Cricetulus griseus: one gene and its partners. The protein of the gene in region 2 purifies or fractionates together with the protein of the main gene of each other region. This does not show direct contact. Links are inferred from orthologs where the notes say so. Each region holds a gene or a part of one and is shown on either strand. Other genes may lie near its edges.

The links.
Region 1: the proteins of Prkcq (region 2) and Ikbkb purify together in Homo sapiens (affinity purification with western blotting; 4 studies listed by BioGRID). This does not show direct contact. The link is inferred for Cricetulus griseus from reciprocal best matches to the Homo sapiens genes PRKCQ and IKBKB.
Region 3: the proteins of Prkcq (region 2) and Chuk purify together in Homo sapiens (affinity purification with western blotting, with the first as the bait; 3 studies listed by BioGRID). This does not show direct contact. The link is inferred for Cricetulus griseus from reciprocal best matches to the Homo sapiens genes PRKCQ and CHUK.

Annotation. Positions count from the first base shown.
Region 1 is NW_023276807.1:61,017,941-61,021,593, forward strand, and holds part of Ikbkb (inhibitor of nuclear factor kappa-B kinase subunit beta), read left to right. Parts: intron 1-991; coding exon 992-1,099; intron 1,100-3,653.
Region 2 is NC_048596.1:228,004,230-228,008,358, forward strand, and holds the start of Prkcq (protein kinase C theta type), read left to right. Parts: upstream 1-1,242; coding exon 1,243-1,360; intron 1,361-4,129. UniProt on the Homo sapiens protein: Calcium-independent, phospholipid- and diacylglycerol (DAG)-dependent serine/threonine-protein kinase that mediates non-redundant functions in T-cell receptor (TCR) signaling, including T-cells activation, proliferation, differentiation and survival, by mediating activation of multiple transcription factors such as NF-kappa-B, JUN, NFATC1 and NFATC2.
Region 3 is NC_048596.1:17,451,689-17,455,341, forward strand, and holds part of Chuk (inhibitor of nuclear factor kappa-B kinase subunit alpha), read left to right. Parts: intron 1-709; coding exon 710-779; intron 780-2,933; coding exon 2,934-3,022; intron 3,023-3,653.

The DNA of each region.
Region 1 (3,653 bases), on a different chromosome or scaffold from region 2:
TACCAAGAAGTTTAGAATGCGCTTGGATTCAATTTTTCCCTTTCCAGCACTCCCTCAAATACCTTTGGAAAGTCCCTCCATTGGGAAATATGAAGATCATTTATTCTAGAAAAAATGCTTAGCCACATACTTGTAAAGGGAAGTGTGGGCCTCCCTTACCTTACTTGGTAGCTAATTGGTAGAGGCACATGTCACCAAGCTTGACAACCTGAGTTCTGTCTCTGGAGCCCCAGCCGTAGGAGGAGAGAACCAGTTCCCTTAAGTTGTCCTCTGATGCCCCAGGCATGCATGCCACAGAGAGGAGGGTGTGCATACATGTACATGAGCACACACATATGTGTGCAAATAAATAGATGTAATTTTAAAAATGTAGCCATGTACATGTGTGTATATTTTACATTTCAAATAAATGTGATGTGTACAAAGTGACACTAGTTCAGAACCCTGGTTTTATCCTTTACCAAAACATGAGAGATGGCTCAGAGGTTAAGAGCACTGGCTGCTCTTCCAGAGGACCTGGGTTTGATTCTCAGTACCCACATCAGGCAGCTCACAGAAGTCACATGTCTGTCCACACACACGTGTAGTTGAAAATAAGTCTTTTAAAATGAGGTTAAAGAAGGGTAGATGCAATAATCTACCCTTCTTTATGAGGGTAAAGATGAGGTAAAGAAGGGTAAAAGCAATAATCAAGGTGAGACAGAGGTCAACAGTGCTGCCTGTAGAACTGGGACACGAGCTGATGAGTGGCCTTGCTGGAGGTGTCCTTTCACCTCTGTTTAGGCAGCACCAGACACATACTGTGTTTTATTTCATGCTAAGGGGACTCACTGCCGCTGAGCTAAACCCCTAACCACACAGACCATTCACAAACCTGTCGGCATACTCACCGTTATTTCAACAAGTATGCAGTTGTAAAGTGAGGTTACAGATGTAAACTGGGTATTTGCCACTGAGTGACATAAAGGACATCTTAAAATGGCATTTACAGGCATTCCAAAGTCCGGCAGAAGAGTGAAGTGGACATTGTTGTCAGTGAAGATTTGAATGGAACAGTGAAGTTTTCCAGCTCTTTACCCTTCCCCAATAATCTTAACAGGTATGGCCACCGGGCATTCGTGTCCTGTTTATTTTTCTTCTCTTTAGAAATACAGGTTTGAGGTGACATCTGATACATTTGTTTGTTTTAGTTGTATATGCTTGAGAGACTGGTACCTGTGGAAGCCAGAAGAGGGATCAGATCCCCTGAAACTGGAGTTGTAGACAGTTGTGAGCTGCCATGTGTGGATCATGGGAACCAAACCTAGGTCCTAGGCAAGAGCAGCCAGTGCTGTTAACCACCGAGCTATCTTCAGACCCTTTGATAACGTTTGAATGGATAACAGAATACCATCCTATGATTGAGCACTTGACCAATCCAGATCAACTTCAGACATAGAATGGATTCTTGTATCTGGTCTCCCTAGAATCTTTTTGTTGTTAATTGGTTGGTTGGTTTTTGCTATGGAGATGAAATCCATGTCTTCATTTATGCAGTGCAAGTGCTCTACCAGTGAGCTTCATTCCCAAACCATCTCTTTGCTAAATTCACATAGCAATTTACTTGTATATCTTATTGTTTTCAAGGGAAGCTAAGACAAGAACTCAAAGCAGGAACCCAGAGTAGAAACTGAAACAGAACCATGGAGGATACTGCTTATTCCCTTGTTCCCTCTGGCTTACTCAGCCTGCACTCTCTCTCTCTCTCTCTCTCTCTCTCTCTCTCTCTCTCTCTCTCTCTCTCTCTCTCCTCCCCTCCCTTCAGGGTTTATAGCCCTAGCTGTCTGTCTCTGTCTGTCTCTGTCTCTGTCTCTCTCTCTCTGTCTCTCTCTCTGTCTCTCTCTCTCTGTCTCTCTCTCTCTCTGTCTCTCTCTCTCTCCTCCCCTCCCTTCAGGTGTATAGCCCTAGCTGTCCTGGAACTCACTTTGTAGACCAGACTGTCCTTAAACTCAAAGATCTTCTTGCCTCTGCCTCCTGAGTGCTGGAATTAAAGGTGTGTACCGCCACCCCCAACTCAACCTGCTTTCTTATACAGCCCAGGTCCCCCTGTTTAGGGAATGGCACTGCCCACAGTAGGCTAGCCCCCATAACCCCCACTGTATCAATTAACAAGTAAGAAAATGGCTCATAGATATGGCTACCAGCCAACCTTTTCAAGGCAGTTCATTTAAGGTTCCCTTTTCCCGGGTGACCCTGGGTTTGACATTGGCAGCTGAAACTATGACAGATATCTACTTTGAAGTATATCCACTTCAGCATAGAGTTTGTCTTATTCCACAGGAAGTCATTTAAGGGTAGGGATTATACCTTATTCCTCTTTGTGTTCCTTGTCTGGCCTAAACAAACAAACCTTTAAGGTTTGAATGGCACTGTGGTCTAGGCTTAGAGCTAGAATATAAGCACTTAATTAGTGAATCAGAATTGGGTCATAATATAAAAGAAAACTCCAGGTTGGTGACTTTACTCACATATTTGGGGACAGGGGAGGGAGCCCTATGGATTACAGCAGTGTGGAGTAACATTGGCTGTGCTATAGTTGCAGGGAGGAGGGATGGGAAGAGTTAGAGAAGACATGGACAGATGAAGGAGAGCTGGTTCAACAGGGAGGATTATAGAGGCACACGGGGTTGCCCCTAAGGGGGCAGTGTGGAAGCAGCATGGAGCCTAAGTGGGCAGGGTGGAGCACAGGAGCCTAGTGTGGGACAGCAGGAGGATTTTGAACATTGGCATGTACATATCCATTAGATGCTCTTAAATCAGCAAGCAGCTCAGGGTCCAGACCAGGGCTACTTAAAACTTCTGCTTGGAGCCCAGCATGATAAAGCACACCTTTAATCCCAGCACTGGGGAGGGAGAGGCAGAGGCAAGAGGATCTCTGTGAGCTCAAGGCCAGCCTAGTCTCCATAGTGAGTATCCAGGACAGTCAGCATCCAGGACTACATAGTGAGACCCTGTCTCAAAAACAAAAAACAAAAAACAAAAACAAAAACAAAATCTTGCATTTGGGATAACTTTGTGCCCAAGAAATGTTCATATTACCCCAGATATGTAAATATAGACTATATAAAGTATATATAAATATATAAAAGTATATGAAGTATATATAAACAAAGTATATAAATAAAACATCTACTGATAATAAATTATAAAGAAATTTATTCATTTTTAAATTTTTTGGTGTATATAGTTTTACCATTAAAGACAAGTATTAGATCTTATTAAAGACAGATATTAAATACATAGATATTAAATTTATATATTAATATGATTAATGAAATATGTATGCTTCTATTTTTACATGAAAAGTTAAATCTTTTTTTTTTTTTTTTTTTTTGTTTTTCGAGACAGGGTTTCTCTGTGTAGCTTTGGAGCCTATCCTGGCACTCACTCTGGAGACCAGACTGGCCTCAAACTCACAGAGATCCGCCTGCCTCTGCCTCCCGAGTGCTGGGATTAAAGGCGTGCGCCACCAACACCTGGCTGAGTTAAATCTTGGCTAAATATTTTTTCATATTTCTGTGTGTTTACACATACGTGTAAACACAGAGACATACTACTGATCATGGATCCACAGAGCCAGGCAAGGATGTTACCACTGATCTACAACCCAGCTC
Region 2 (4,129 bases):
AAGAGTCAGAGATAGAGAGCCTGAGACAAGCTGGCCAACTAGAGTTATAGGAATTCATGAGCTCTGGGTTGAGCCAGCGACCCTCTCTCAACAAAAAAGTGTAGAGCAGTCAAGATAGACACTCCATTTCAACTCCAGGCCTACACACACACACACACACACACACACACACACACACAGGTACACACAAGTACATGTACCCACATACATATAAACATGTATATACACATACATGCCCATCCCTCACACACATGTATACATGCAAGAAAATAACTATAGAGGAAAAGGTGTTTGGTTGAAGTAAACAGCTGAGCAAGCAGAGATGGAGCTGCAAATGAAGATTCAGGCTTAGGGTGCTCGTGAGATGGCTCAGTGGGAAAGAGCATATGCTGCTCTTGTGGAGGGAGGACCAGAGGTGAGTTCCCAGCACTCACACTGAATGACTCCAGCTCTGGCTTCTGGCTTCCTTGGCTATGTGCATGTATTCACACATAGTCACAGACACACTGACACATGCGCAAATAAAAATAATAAATCTCTCAAAATTAAAAAGAAAGAGTAACGCCAACTGTTGAAACATGTAGCCAGAACTGTGATAATTTCCATTTAAAGCTCTGAGGAAACATAATAAGACCTCTGGCTTTGATGAGGTACTTTGACTTTAGGATGAGACATAATCGTACAGGGGTCAATGGTTTGGAGGTTCTTAAAGTGGCTTATAACATTTAAGTAGCTTAATTGCTTGTGTCTGTTTGAGCATGTGTTTGTCTCTGACAAGAGCAAACCATATTGAAAATATCCAAAATAAATAGGGATCAGCTGCTAACTGCTGAAAGCCAATTCCATGACACACATAAATAGACTACGTTAAGAATGTTGTGGTGTCATATTAACTGGTGTGACTAAAATAGACCGGTTACTGTGTTTGGGGCATCTACTTGAAGTAACAAAAAGTTGGAAAATGTTTGCCTTGCTGTGCAGGATTAACCCTTAGTTCTCACTGTGGAGGTTAGCCACAGACTTTCCAAAGAGCTCTTTCTCTGCAAGCCAGTTCAGGGGGGATCCAGCAATATGCTTCTCAGAGAAGGAAATAAACACTTTTGTTCAGATGGATAGCAGGCCCATTGGAAGTGCTGGCTGTCCAAGATAAAACACTAAGTGGAGATGGAACGCTAAAAATAATGCATCTTAGGGCTCCTTAAATACAGCATTTGTCTTTTGTCATATTTCTAGGGAACAACCATGTCACCATTTCTTCGAATTGGTTTATCCAATTTTGACTGTGGTACCTGCCAGTCTTGTCAGGGCGAGGCCGTGAACCCCTACTGCGCTGTGCTTGTCAAAGAGTATGTGGAATCAGGTAAGTTAATTGGGATCAGGGTTGGGGAGAATGAGGAGGGAGAGGTGGCTAGGCTAGACAATCATGTGGGAGACAAGACCCTCCATGACCTTGCAGGACAATTGACAGAACTGAATTTCACATTTTAGGACACTAGTACCCAACAAAGACCAAATACTTTCTTAAGAACCCAGGTTTAGTTACGGTTCTGACCAGATCTATTTCACTGTGCCATTTTTTTCACATAAACAAAGATAAGGAGAATATTAAGTTGGGGGAATTAGATCAGGGGGCTAAAGGAGAAGGAATCTAGGAGGTTGAGTATATTAAGTATTATTTGTACTAATAACTCAACTGTTTTCAATGACTACAGGTAAAGCTTGTCTAATCCTAGATCTTGGGATCAACTCCAAAGACTGCTTGTTGTATCATTGCCTCAGCTGAGAGAGGAAGGAAGGAATCTGCTATCATTCTCCATGAATAAAAGAATATTTCTATTATTAACTCTGACTATATATACCCAATTCATGATGAGGAGAAAATTTGGCTCCTGTACCCAAGACTGTTTTTGTTGGTTTAGATAGCTCTGCCAAAACAATCCCATTGGGTAAGGAATCTCTTGGTGATTATGCCCTCTAGCTCCCTCTTGATCCATACCTCTTAATTCCAATATTTTTAAGTCTCTTCCAAAGGAAAGATATGAAGCTATTTATTCCAAGACCTTCCCAGGCTCGCTACCTTGCTCTATATTCCTATATACAGACGGGTAACTATAAAGAATGTGTCTCAGTTCATTTACTCACACACACACACACACACACACACACACACACACACACACACACACACACACACTCTTATGGAGAGCCACTATGAGGACCCTGGGGCTTGAGCAGACAGAAAAACACACTAAAGTATTTACAAAGTCTCCCTTCAGGCTTTCTAGTCTTGCAGAGGAAGACAGGTGATAAGCAAAGCTACAGTGTGATGACTAGCAGTGACGGCTAAAGAGATAAAAAGTATGGCAAGAGGAGAAAGGAGCCAGGGAAGTGAACATTATTCTCAAAGGAGTTCCCCTAAAAGAGTCTCTGTCAGAGACTGGGAGAATTGGTGGATACAAGAGGAAACTGAGGCACACACGGAGAGCCTCTAGCTAGGTGCTGGAAATTCTGAATTCTGCAGTTCCAAATTTTTATCATGCTGTGTTCCCCCACCCCCATCTCTCTTCATGCTCATTTCATCTCTCTAGCTGCTCCGACTGCATCAAAGCCTGGGAGACTGTCTGGATGCCCTTGGTTTCTCTTCTACCCAGAGTTCTCTACTGTCTTAAAAGTGAAAATGCCTCTTGCTTCCACCTAAACCCTTTCAAATGTCACAGACATCTTTGAAGTGTAAAATGGCTGGGTTTTTTCAAAGCTGCTTTTGACTTAATGTGTCTTGTGGATCTGGTCCTGTTTCCAGCTTCAGGTCTCACTGACATTTGCCTCCTGCCAATCTTCCTCTCTTTCTTCCTCTTTCTTTCTTTCTTCCTTCCTTACTTACTTACTTTCTTTTTCTTTTTTCTCCTTCCTCTTCTTTTGGCCTTGCTTTTGAACTTGATCTCATTAGCCACATGGATCAAGACACCCTGTCAGAAAACGAACAAAACTTTTTCCAACAGATTGGCCAATGGACTTCGGATATTTGTTTTGTTTTCTTTTGTTTTTCAGGTTATGTTCTGAAAAGAAGTCACTCTAGATATTACCTAACTAAAAGATTCCTTCTCCAGAATTTAAGCAGGTTTCCATATTTAGGGTATGAGTTTGCATTTTTCATGATAAGATGGAGGAATGGGAGCAAACCAGAAACAGTGCTGTCACCTTGGGACCCTTTGAAAACAGCAGCCCTCACTGTTCACACACAGACAGGCATGCTGGTTAGTTTTAACTGTCAACTTGACACAGTCTAGAGTCACCCAGGAAGAGCATCTTAATGAGAAGTTACCTAGATTATCTTGACCTGTGGGCAGTCTTTGTGGAATTATCTTGACTGTTAATTGATGTAGGAATATCTAGTCCATTTGGGTGGCACCATTCCCTAGGCAGGTGAGTGTAAGAGAGGAGAAAATTAGTCAAAAGCAGGTAATCAAGCCAGTAGGCTTGCAAGAATGTAATTCTCCCTGCTTTCAATTGTGGTTGTGCTATGACTAGCTGCTGCTTGAGTTCCTGGCTTGACATCCTCCTTGGTGATAGACTGTGAGCTGGGATTTCAACCCAAGTAAACTCTTTCTCGCCCAAGACGCTTCTTGTCAGGGTATTTTATCACAGCAACAGAAATGGAACTAGAACAACAGGATTCTTAGTTCTGGTCTGCTTTTTAGGTAATTCTTAACCTAGTGGCTGACTCCTGGATGCTTGCCCCTTGCTGAGCTTGGAAAATGGTTGTAGTGAAAGGGAATAATTTAATAGGGAAGCTTAAAGACTATGATAAATAAGATCATCATTCATTTTCAAAGAACTCAATCTATCATTTGTTTTTTAACCGAACCATAAAAATCTCTTCCTCCCTTCATAGGAGCTCATGAGTGCCCAACCCCAAATTAGGGAGCTAGTGACAGTTGGTGGCTTCTGAGGGAGAGTAAGTCAGTTTTCCTTAAAGGTTGACTCCTGGTAGGTTGACCAGGGTCCAGTGGATGTCTGCATACCAATGTATATGGAGAATACAACAAATTGGACTTGCTGGAGGGAGGAGGAGGAGGAGGAGGAGGAGGAAGAAGAGGAGGAGGAGGAGATGACAGTGACAAGGAGAAGA
Region 3 (3,653 bases), about 210 Mb from region 2:
GAAACCTGGCCTCCAAAAAAAAAAAAAAACAAGCAAGCAAGCAAACAAACAAATAGAAAAGAAAGGTGGGGGGTGGGGAGAAAACAAAAGAGTTGTCTTTATTATAATTATTCTTTCTATTTAGTTTTAAATGTATTTGTCAGCTATTTTTCAATTTCAAGTGCAGTTGCCCTTGTCTTTACTTTTTATGAGCCTTCTTGTGAAATTTACTCAGCCTCAATATGTATTTGATGACTATTTTTTTTCTTATGTCTCTTGTGATTGTTACATTTTTTAAAAGATTTTATTATTTATTATGTATACAACATTCTGCTTCCATGTATATCTGCACACCAGAAGAGGGCACCAGATCTCATAACGGATGGTTGTGAGCCTCCATGTGGTTGCTGGGAATTGAACTCAGGACCTCTGGAAGAGCAGTCAGTGCTCTTAACCTCTGAGCCATCTCTCCATCCCATTGTTACAGTTTTTGAAACAGACTCTTACAGTGTAGCTCATGTTGGCCTTGAGCTCATGGTCCTTCTGCCTCATCTTCCCAAGTGCTGGCCTTGTAGACATGTCCCAATCCTTATAATTTCTTTATTGTGACTTATTTTTTTTTATTTGAATATTCTTAGACAGTTTAGTGATTAATGTGTGTTGCTATTGCTACCCATCAATAGTATAAAATTATAGACTTATCTATTTATTTGTTTTCATTTTTCTTTAGCTACTCAACAAACCAGAAAATTGTTGTGGACTTAAAGAAAGCCAGATACTTTCTTTACTGTGTGACATAGGTATGTAACTAATATTAAAATATCATTGTGATTTAATTAATGCCTCTTTGGTCCACAAAAACTTCTGTGTACTTCTTAGAAGTTACAGAGAACTGTGTGTATACTCTACAAAGCATGTAGGTTTTTAACATTTATAAAAAATGAGGAAAAACAAAATCTCTGGGCAGTGGTGGCACACAACTTTAATCCCAGTAACTCAGGAGGTAGAGGCAGGTGGATGTCTGTGAGTTCAAGGCCAACCTGGTCTACAGAATGAGGTCCAGGGCAGCTAGAGGTGTACAGAGAAACCCTGTCTCAAAAAACCAACCAAAAAAAAAAAAAAAGAAAGAAAAGAAAGAAGAAAAAAGAAAGAAAGAAAAAGAAAAGAAAAACCCATTTCTAATATTAATTAAAACTAATAGACTTTTGGCATTTGTTTCTATTTGGGGTTTCTCTTTGTTGTTTGTTTTTTGGTTATGTATCCTTGTCCGATAGATGTTCCAATGATAACAAAAATGATATGAAATAGCAATCATTTCATCCCCTCTCACAACTCCCCCAACACTCTCATAGTAGTTTTGTTTATAATGGAATCATATCTTTTGGTGGATAGGTCCTCAAGTTGTCCTGGGATGAAAGTCTCTTTTTAATCAGAAATCCTACTGGTAAACCCTAAAGTAACTATGATTTAAACCTTTGAGAGACCTGAGTCTCCTTGTGTCAGCGGTTGCTGCTCTTCCTAGGTCACAGGCAGCAGAGTCTAAAAATGTGATTTAGGTTGGAGGAAAAGTCTATAGGCTTACAGGTATTTCTTAAAATTTAATTGTTTCATTTGCTTTTAATGTTGATTTGACTAAATTAAATGAGTATACAATTTTTCAGTGTTTATTTGATGATACATTTGGTGAGGAAAATATGAACTGCTCTAATGTTGGTGATGCAGCAGTGATGGATCATTTCAGTGTGTGGGGGTGTGTGTTGTTAAATGTATAGTACATGGGTGTGAACATTGGCCACACTCACAGGAGCATGCATGTGGAGGCCAGAGCAGCATGTCATGTTCTGTTTCTCTGCACTTGATTGTTTTCAGACAGGGTCTCTGACTGAACCGGAAGCTCCACATTTGGGCTAGGCTGGCCTCAGCCAGCTCCTGAGATCTGCCTCTCTCCTCTCAACTCCTCTAGGGTTATTGTTGCACACAGCCTTGCTTGGCTTTTTATGTGGGTGGTGGGGATTTGACTCGGGTCCTCCTGCGTTCAGCGCACTGACCTTTACCCACTGAGCCGTCTCCAAGCCTATGGACATAGAAATTTGTGCATCATTGTAATCTTTGTAAAGTGAGGTGAAAACTGAATGTGGCTGGACATGGTGGCACCCACCTTTAATTCTAACACTAGGGAGGGGAGGCAGATGGATCTCTGTGAGTTTAAGACTAGCAGGCCAATCAGGGCTACATAGTGAGACCCTGTCTAAAAAATGATGAGTGTTGGGGAATCCACTAGAGTCCCTTTAAAGGGGTATAAAGGATTTCTTAGGATACACTTAGGCAAAGAGCCGAAGTGGTCCTCTCTTCTGCCCTGGGGTGAATGGAACCAGCAGTCTGATCTCTGACTACCACATGAGATAAAGCAAGCAACAACCCCCTTCCTTTTAAGAGGTCACGTGGACAGACAACATGCACAGCCTCTATCTAGCCAGACAGCCCAAGGTCATGGGCGGAGCCAATACTCACTACAGCTGAGTGTGCTGGTGCACACCTGCAGTCCCAGCACTTGGGAGCCAATACTCACTACAGCTGAGTGTGCTGGAACACACCTGCAGTCCCAGCACCTTGGAGCCAATACTCACTACAGCTGAGTGTGCTGGTGCACACCTGCAATCCCAGCACTTGGGAGCCAATAATCACTACAGCTGAGTGTGCTGGTACACACCTGCAGTCCCAGCACCTTGGAGCCAATACTCACTACAGCTGAGTGTGCTGGTGCACACCTGCAGTCCCAGCACTTGGGAGGTAGAACGAGCAGATTAGAAATTGGAGGTCATTCTCAGCTGTATAGGGAATTCCACACCAGACAGGGCTATATGAGACACTGTCTCAAAAACACTAACAGTAAAAACAAAGTGTGATCTGATTTTCCAAATGGTATTTCATAATACATTTGAAATTTTATTTAGGATCTGGAATTCGATATTTGCATGAAAACAAAATCATACATCGAGATCTGAAACCTGAAAATATAGTTCTTCATGATGTTGGTGGGAAGGTAGGTGAAGCCTGAAGACTGTTTCATGCTTGTTGTTCTAGTCTTCCTGATATATTGTCTTTAGAGATTTTAGTGTCCTTATTTATTCTATAGACATAGTACTTTATAGGTTTTCTATGTAGCCCTCACTGTATGGAATTGTGGGGCCTTTTTAATTTTAGATTTATTACTATTGTTATTGTTGTTATATTTTATATATGTGTGTACCACATGTGGTGTTTTTGGGGGGCACAAGAAGAGAACATCAAATTCCCTGGGACTAGAATTACAAATCGTTGTGAGCCACAGTGTGGGAGTTTAGAGTTGAACTCAGGTCTTCTTCAAGAACAACAGGTGCCCTTAACTGCTTAACCCACTCTCCAGGCCTGAACTGTAGTTTATGGTTAGATTTTTGTCTTCTCTGCAGAACAATGGCTCCTTAGAGAAGCATCTGTCTTGCTCATCTCTGGATTAGGAATGTTGATCTAATTGTATAGGAAACTGCCAGAGATTAACTAACGTGATCAAGATTATACAGTTAGCTAAGCCCATTACCTGACATCTATAATCCCAGCAATGGCAGGAGGGTTGCTGTAATTTGATACCATCTTGGGTTACAGTGGAGACCTAGTCTCAAAAATTAACAACAACA